2 linked regions of the Oryzias latipes genome follow. The protein of the gene in region 1 interacts with the protein of each later gene in a biochemical or structural test. Links are inferred from orthologs where the notes say so. Each region holds a gene or a part of one and is shown on either strand. Other genes may lie near its edges. The genes, in order: parp2 and histone PARylation factor 1.

What was found.
Region 2: the proteins of parp2 (region 1) and histone PARylation factor 1 form a complex in vitro, tested with the Homo sapiens proteins (2 studies listed by BioGRID). The link is inferred for Oryzias latipes from reciprocal best matches to the Homo sapiens genes PARP2 and HPF1.

Annotation. Positions count from the first base shown.
Region 1 is NC_019875.2:3,351,076-3,355,475, forward strand, and holds the start of parp2 (poly [ADP-ribose] polymerase 2), read left to right. Parts: upstream 1-1,425; 5' UTR 1,426-1,536; coding exon 1,537-1,609; intron 1,610-1,834; coding exon 1,835-2,044; intron 2,045-4,208; coding exon 4,209-4,343; intron 4,344-4,400. Other genes in the region: mettl17 (methyltransferase-like protein 17, mitochondrial), read right to left, coding at 933-1,001. UniProt on the Homo sapiens protein: Poly-ADP-ribosyltransferase that mediates poly-ADP-ribosylation of proteins and plays a key role in DNA repair.
Region 2 is NC_019859.2:12,486,135-12,490,654, forward strand, and holds the start of histone PARylation factor 1, read left to right. Parts: upstream 1-1,692; 5' UTR 1,693-1,758; coding exon 1,759-1,797; intron 1,798-2,519; coding exon 2,520-2,703; intron 2,704-3,251; coding exon 3,252-3,438; intron 3,439-3,738; coding exon 3,739-3,837; intron 3,838-3,943; coding exon 3,944-4,097; intron 4,098-4,419; coding exon 4,420-4,507; intron 4,508-4,520. UniProt on the Homo sapiens protein: Cofactor for serine ADP-ribosylation that confers serine specificity on PARP1 and PARP2 and plays a key role in DNA damage response.

The sequences.
Region 1 (4,400 bases):
AAGAAGACAGAACTTTAATACAATTTCCAATTCGGTTTCTTTCACTGACAAATACAAAGATATATATATATATATAGGACTAGTGAGCCACTATCCAGGATGAAACATCCAAGATCCATGAGTAAATCAAGCTCAAGGCCACAACTGACATTGTTCTCAGTGAATGTCTCAGGCAATGGAGAGCAGAGGATACAGTGCTGGAGGACAGATCCTCATGGGAGGACAAACTCCTGCATGGGATGTACCACCGGACCATAACTGAAGTGGCTGATATCAAGAAGTCCTACCAATGGCTAGAAAGGGCTGGCCTACAGGACAGCACTGAAGCACTCATCCTGGCAGCTCAGGGAGAAATCCTGAGCACCAAACCACAGAGGCAATGGCGAACCAACCAGACATTGTAGTGGTGGATAAAGAACAGAGGAAAGCCGTTGTGGTGGATGTGGCAGTGCCAAGCGATGGAAACATCAGGAAGAAGGAACATGAGAAACTGGAGAAATACCAGGGACTCAGAAGAACTGGAGAAAGCCTGGAAAGTGAAGGTGACAGTGGTGCCTGTGGTAATTGGAGCACTCGGGGCAGTAACCCCCAAGCTGGAGGAGTGGCTACAACAGATACCTGGAAAGACCTCAGACCTCTCAGTCCAGAAAAGCGCTGTGCTAGCAACAGCTAAGTTACTGCAGGAGCCTCTTATTCCAGCTCAAAGAGAAAGCTGTGAGATTGATTTACACAAACAGGATTTTTTTAAAGCGTACAAATACGCTTAGAAATCAAAAAAGTATTGGGAAAAAAGCACATTGGTAAAGATATAGCTGTTAGGCTTCAAACATCTAAGCACACAGATCAGGTATCGTTATATACATATACTATGTCTCATAGTAAATAGTATGACCTCCACAATTAGCTGCGTAATGATAAATCGATTTACGAACCCTCAACATTTTCTTTATTCTTGGTGTTTTCTGACCAAAAACAAATGCTCCGTATGTTCGCCATGCCATGTCTGAACAAAAAACAATAAAATCCAGATTCGGATTATAATGTACTCCCCCAAAAACCACGCTGGGAGTTTGCAGTCCTTCAGCAAAATAATTCCGGTTTTAGCTGAAGTGGAACTTGTTGTCTGTCATCTTTGGTTCCTTCGTGAGATAAAGAGGAGGGCTCACTCTTGTCATCTTTGGTGGTCCTACGCAACTGGAAAGAGCAGAATGTTTCTTTTAATAGCTTTTACTTAATTTCCACAAATTTAAAAGGTTTTAATAAAATACAGATAGCATACTAAATATATTTTTAATAATATAAAATGATTTTTCGTGTGTTTTGTTATGTTGTTATGGTTTAGATTAGAACGATGTCACTATTTAATTCTCATTTTGATAAACGAGTTAGCTTCTGTATGCCTAAACGATCTTTGGCCGCGGGACATCCTTAACACATGTCCGACTAGGAAACATCGCTCGAAAAAAGTTTCCCGCCCTGCTCCACAGTCTCATCATTGTTCCATTCTGTTCTTCTGTTTTCTATCTAGTTTACAACATGAGGCGAACTAGGGGTTCAATGAATAAAAACCAAAGTTTGCCAAAAAACGAAGACATGGAGTCAATAACAGGTTTGTGTTGATGTGAAACAAGTTAGTTGTTCAGATAAACTGAACATGTCTAGACTAGACTCTAGTCTTCGTGTTTTACGCTGTTTAAAATGCTTTGTTACGGTTCAAAAACCATACAGTGCCTTATTGAGACTTATGTGTGTGAGAAAAAGGCGTCAGACTTGGATGTCTGCGCGTGTGAAACAAGCGGCACCTGCGTGAACAGGTATTCTGTGTTGATGCTAGAATGGCAGTGGCAGGGGGACGGAGGCCGGTGGGAGTCATACCCGCCGGCGGCGTGTGCCCTGCTGGATTCGGCTCTGTCTGCGGGAACACCGGCCGTCACTCTGAACGCGGGTTCCGGCACCGCATACGAGGTGGATCTGAAGAACATGGTCCAGATCAATCCTGTCACAAAGTACCGAAGGAAAATTCGCAGTCAGACTGTGAAACCAGGTATGTTTTAAAGGTAGAAAACACACCTCCATCATCCAAGGTTTTGTATGTGAGAGATTCAGTCAGAAACAAAAGTTGTCTTTCTTTTTTCTTCTGTCTTAAACAAACTAAGTTTTAGGCAGAATTCAAAACGACTCTTAAAGAAACGAGTTCAGTAAAGTTAGCAAATAGTCAAAATCAACTAATTTACATCTGAGACAAAGGAAATTAGTTGTGGTGTCCCACAAGGATCAATTATGGGCCCTCTGCTATTCGATATTTACATAAATTATATATTTAATGTTTCAAAACTTTTAAAACCAATATTATTTGCTGAAGATACAAATACATGTTAGTTTACAGACAATCATAAGGAACTCCGTAATGTGGGAAATCCAGAACTAAGTAAAATAAAAGCATGGATGAATGGGGTGTAGTTTGTAAAGCTACAGTCAAATATTGACAGCAATATTTTTGGTTATTTAGCCTGTTTCAGGAGAAAAAAAACAGGTTTCTCTGAACTGATTGGTGGGAATTTCTTATTTTCGTAACTTTTTATTTTCTGTCGCTTCCTGCATTTTCTCCTGCATGTCTTGAATCAGTCAAGCTCAAGGACATGATGGACTACAAGTCTGGCGAGAATCAGTTCAGAGACAGAGCAAATCCAGCTTTTATTTTGGTAGTCCTTTAGTCCTTTGGTAGATTAACTATTTAGTTTGTAAAGAAAAAATACTTAACTTAAATGAAATATTTAGCTTGCAAACTAAATATTTTGTTAGTAAATGTAACATTTATAAATACGTGAATTAAAAGGTGAAAATATGCATTTGGAAAAGGACGTCTGTTTTTTTCCTCCTAAAACAAACTAAACAACCAAAAAATTGCTGTGAATATTTGACTTTGTCACTTTACAAACGGCATCCCGTATGGATGGATTACATTTGTGAATTTAGACAAAACAAAAGTAATGTTTTTGCTAATTATAATATTAAAGCAGAGCTGTCAATAAAAATAAACAATGTCTCAATCGTTACAGAAATTCCTATTGACAGCAAACTGAGCTGGAAGCAGCACATCAGCCATTCGGATGTAATTTATTTGCTGATGACACAACACTATTTCATGTAGGTAATAATATAGAAAGCAGTCCAAGCAGAGGAGAAAATACAGTGGTTTGATGTAAATAAATTATCACTAAGCTGCAAAAAAAAAAATCCTTCATGACAACAGACACAAACTTAAATATTGTACCGGTACTTGAAAAATTTATGGTATTAAAATTGATGGAGAGATGGAAATGAGGTTTCTGGATGTCATCAATGACGAGGGTGAAAATGCCATGTCAATAATCTCAAAACAAAACTTGTTAACTTGTTTCATCAAGTTAAGTCACCTCTGGATGATGAAGCACTGCATTTACTCCTCAATCCATATCTAAATTAGTGTATTGCAATTTGGGGAAACGCATTTAAACTTATGTACTTAAGTTAAACTTTAGTCCTACAAAAAAAAAAAAAGAAAAGCAATAAGAATAATCTCATACAGTATATGCAGAGATCCATCCAATCTATTATCCAGTAAGCCAAAAATATCAAGTCGTAGTTGATCAAAGTATTTTAAAGTTACAGCATAAAGCATATCAGAATTGTCTGCTACACAATATACAAAAAAAAGATTTTACAAAAAAAGGACTTATGGCTTAAAAGGATGTGAGATTTACTCTTTGCCTAAATTTAAAGCAGAAACAAAGGAAGGATGTGTTTCAATCAATCAAGGAGTCAAGATATAAAACAATCACTTAAAGAAACCAAATCACCTTCAAAAACACGTGTTAGAAAAGAACTGTTTAAAAAATACCATCAATGAACCGTGTTGCTTCATTCCAGGAAACCTTTAATTCCTTTAATTCTTTTATTCACTCTTCTTTTTGCTTTCTTCTAAGAATTTTTTAAAGGGGCAGAAAAGTATGTTTTCCTCTTTCTTTTCCTTTTATTTTCGAGGTAAAAAACTGTGTGAAATCTTTGTTTTTGTTGTTTTACAGAAAAGAAATCCATTTCCTCCCTTTGAAAATCATTAGAAACTCTCCAGTGTGACGTCGGTTAATCAGCCTGAAGTTATAACTGACATCATAGAAACACCCACAGGACAAATACTCAACACCCATGTTTGTCTTTCTCTTATAAAGACAGTTTAAATGAAGCTGAACCACAACCTGTCCAGGTTAAAGAGGAAGAGGAGGAGACAGAGGAGCAACCTGTGACGAAGAAAAGAAGAGGACGAAGCAAGAGTCAGGCAAAAAGCCAAGAAGGAAACAGTGAAGGTAGGCTTGTTGTTGTTGTGGCCATGTGTCACTAAAAAACAACCGTCTGCAGCTTTT
Region 2 (4,520 bases), on another chromosome or scaffold:
TTGTATTTTGTTGTTTTATTTGACAAGTAACAATCTGTTTATGTCTTACTTCTGATCTTGTATAGTCTGTCAACCAAAGCAATTATAACCATCAAAATACATATGGAAATATTTAAAGACGTATATGGTGGTTATAATTGCATTTGTTTGTGGTTTATAACTTTTATTTCTAAGGTCTGTTTTCAAGTCAGTTGTAAAACAACAAATTTTTTTCTATTACTGTAATAAATATAGGAAATGTAGGAAATATATTCTACGGTGACCCTGAAGTGCAAATCACATCAACAAATCACTCGACAAAAACGTTTTAAAGATCAGAGACAACTAAAAAAAGCAAAAAAATCTAAAAAAAAAACAACATTACATTTTAAAGAATAAGACAAAATTTCAGAAGACAAAACATAAAAAACAATAATGAAAAAACATTTCAGAAAAAAAATGTCATTTACAGAAAACAAAAGGAAATGCTAAAAAAGCAAAAAAAAAAACGTTTTGTAAAACAAATTAATTTCCAGAGGAAAAATGAAATGTTAAAAAATGACAAACATTTCAGAAAACACAATGAATCCCAATTAGAAATCATAAATGGTATAGGTACTATGAATCAAATGTTGTAAATTTAAACTTAAAATCATAAAGGAAAAAAATTAACTTTCATTTTATTATCAATTTATTAACTACTATAGAAAACCAAATCATTTTTTTGATTTTATCCTTTCATTCTTTCCTTTAATTATTTACCTTCAGCACGTACGTCATTCACACAAACTGCTTCTGGGTGACCCTTCTGTTTCAGAGGTTAAATAAAAAAAAATGAATTGAAATGTTTACTGTTTGCTCCATTTCTAATTTACGGTAATATGTAAAGGGGGAAAACATGGATTATTATGGGACATTGTGGTTTGGACGATAATTTCCAGTATGGCTTAGGTCAAATAAATTGGTGTTAAAATGATGGAAAAATATCATCATCCAATCAGGGATGTCCGTCAGTACCTACCTGTTCTGGTTTCTATAAAAATACTTTTAGAAATCAAAATGCTGGGAGATCTAGTGCATTCAGAACTCTGGGGGACGGTTCCGGCTGGTGACTAGAGGGAAAACAGAGTTCTGATTCTGACACGAGGTTTTTTTGTCTGTTTTTTCTTGTGATGTAATGCAATAAAGACTTTGTTGTTTGGATGTTTGCCTTAAATCCAAAACTGTGTCTGATTAATTATACATATTTTGTAAAAGGCCTTATATCTAATCCCAGAAGGTTTCAATTTAAAATACTCCAGTGTGCACACTGCCCGGCCTGTGTCCACTTTTAATAAAATTTGTTAGTAATTAAGAATAATTTGTAAAGATTAAGAATTGAGTAAACAAGTCAGGAAATTATTGTTTTATACCTAATATAATTGAAAAAGTATACAAAGCTATTGTCCGACATAAAAATGTTTTCACACATTTAACAGAGAAACATATTTCAATGGTTTGGTTTTACCACTGTAATGAGTGGGGTCAAAAATGTATATAATTAATAAAAGTATATTAATTACAATAAGATAAATATGCCAGACCTTTCCGCGCACGTCTTTTCTGTGTATAACGTTGTATTCAAGCAAAAACGGTTTTGATACGGAATGGAAATGGAGCAGGAATGGAAGCTGCAGTTATTTTTTTAACCTCTAGGTGGCGATAGTGCCCTCTAATACAACCCACCATTTATTCTGTTAAAAGTGTAGAAGAAGACGACAAGGAGACAAGAGGAGGAAAATGACAGGGCGCGCAAAAAGAAAACCCAAATCGGCACAGGTAATATCTCCAGTCTTCACAGACTAGACATCTAAGCGTCGATGTTTATTTCAAAACGTGTTTCTGTGGAATAAGTTCTGCAATTGGAGCATACTGAATTTGATGAAGACGCAAAAGGCTGCTGTGTTTGGTGTCCAGCGGTGGTTGGACGACAATATGGCAGCAGCTGCTGCTGCTGCAAAGCAGAGCTACTTGTTTAATGACCCCCACACTTCACAATGGGCTTTTATATGGATTTAAGTAGTCCCAGATCTGCTGGGCTTGTGTTTATTGCATTTGCTAAAAACCCATGAACCTGCAATGTTTTTGCTTTACGAAAATGAGTTCAAGTCTTTTTTTAATCAATTGCTGCCAGATGGATTTTTGGAAGCAAACAGTTCTGCTGAGATTTATTTTAGCTAGCAACTCTGTAAGTTTCCTCCTTAAAGTTTTCAGCCCGAACGACAACAAAGTACACTGTACATAAATAAATATATATGCTATTATTTACGTCACTTTTGGATCAAAAAAAGATACTTTTTTATTTTAAACTTTGCTTTGAACGCATAAATAAACACAAAACATTGAGTCGAGATAATTACCATTCATTCATCCACCAAAAGAGGGAAATTTGGCAATCATATATATTTTGAACAGCTTTATTTATTTCTGCTGTTCACATATGTACAAAATCTAATATTTAATTGAAGCAACAACAACAAAGTATCTGTTTTTGTCTCTAGGATGTGAGCGCCTGTAATGGAGACGTGAAGAAGATGAGAACTGATGGATCCAAAGACGTACCGCTGTCCGATGTGACTCCAGAACAGCGTGAGGAGTTGTTTCGACTGTACAGCTTTCAAATGCCAGAAGATCTTTTTCATTTTTGGGAATTCTGCAAGGAGCTTAGTCCTGAAAATCCTTGTGGTATGCTTTATTGATTTATTTACTTCTTTTGGTCACAGCATATACCTTTCTGCTGCAATTTCATTGGTTTTTACTTCTGTGACTTCTGTTTTGTGAAACTGAAAAATGTGTGTTCATTTCTTCAGAAAGGGTGTCACTGCCAAGCCACACAATTGATTCAAATTTTAAAATTAAAGTTATCTGTTTGATTTTTAAAAAAATGGACTCTTTTTTTTATTTTATTTATATTGTAAAACAAATTTAGCTAAACTGATTATTTGAACTGAACAAAAGTGAAACTTTCATTGATACATTTTATTATTTCTTTTATTAACAATGAACACAAAAGATGTTTGATGTTTTTGTTTTTTTGTAAATGCGTGAAAAATAAATGCAAAAAACTGTTTCAAAAGAAAAACAATAAATAGATTTGATGAGCTTGTATAGTATTTTATAGTTTAATATCAATTCAATTTAACATTTTATAGGATTAACAATTTGGGTTAAGATTAATTTTGAATAAAATGCTATAATTTTTCAGCTGATTTTATCACTTTAAACCTGTATAGGCGCACTGAAAGAGGCATTGGACCTGCAGCTGGTCGGCCCTTTTGAAATTCTGGCTGGAGCCCACAGAACCTCCAAGAACCCGCAGCTGAACTTCCACCTTCACTGGAGGCATTTCTATGACCCACCAGAGTTTCAGACTGTACTTCAGGGGAGTGAGGACAGCCAGCATCACATGGGCTACTACAGGTACGGAGTTCCTTTTACTACCATCCCAAAGCTCTTTAACCCCTGTGCTATCCTAGGCACTGTAACGTTGGGAGTTGGGTCATCTAGACCCACTCGACAGTGCTCTGAACCTTTTTTCTTCAATGATTTGTGATCTTCACTGGTGTCCATGGATTACATGAAATCTTTCCACCTTTATCCACCTTTGTCATGGTCAAAGTAAGGGTGGGGTCATCTAAGATAGCACAAGGGTTAATAACAGCTGTATGAAATAAAGAGGCACTTTGGAATGCTTCTACATTTATTTTTTTATTCTAACAGAGATACCCCAGACTCCTTTCCTTCATTTGTTGGGGAAAATGAAGCTAAGAAGGACTGCACTATATTGCAGATGGGAGATAACTTGTTTGCTGCGGTCTAGTAAGTGTTTGCTTGTATACATTTACACTTTTTTTCCCCGGTAATGGGGTTTAATTAAGTCATCTTTCTTCCATTCTGTTGATCTCTATATTGTTTTGTTTACTAGTCTGTACCTGCAGAGGAAGAGGAAGGAGAGAGGCAGTAAGAAAGGAGAGACTGGAGCGTGGGAAAGCTTGGAGACCAAACTAAAGGACAAAGCCGAGTCCCTCAACTTGTCTTTAGAGCAGAAAACCAAAGCAATGAAACAGAGGGACAAGAGGGTAATGCAAACATCCCAGAACAATAATGTATCAGTTGTTGCATTCCAAGACTATTTAGATGCCTAATAATGGCATTCACTTTTACGGCATAACCTCGTTGGGCAGCAGTGGCTCAGCAGGTCGTCCATTGATTGAGGGGTCGGCGGTTTGATCCCCGCTCCATCAGTAGTTACCATCACCAAGTATGAATGAGGAGTGAATGAATGATGTTGGACACATTGTAAGCGCTTTGTGCATCTGGAAAAGTGCAGATAAATCAAATCCATTGTTATTATTGTCTTACCAGTTTAATACAATCTGGACTTCTGATCCCAAACCTTAGGTGGTCACAAAGACGTTCCATGGTGCCGGCATCGTTGTGCCTGTAGACAAGAATGATGTAGGCTACAGAGAACTACCTGAAACAGACGGTGAGCTCAAATA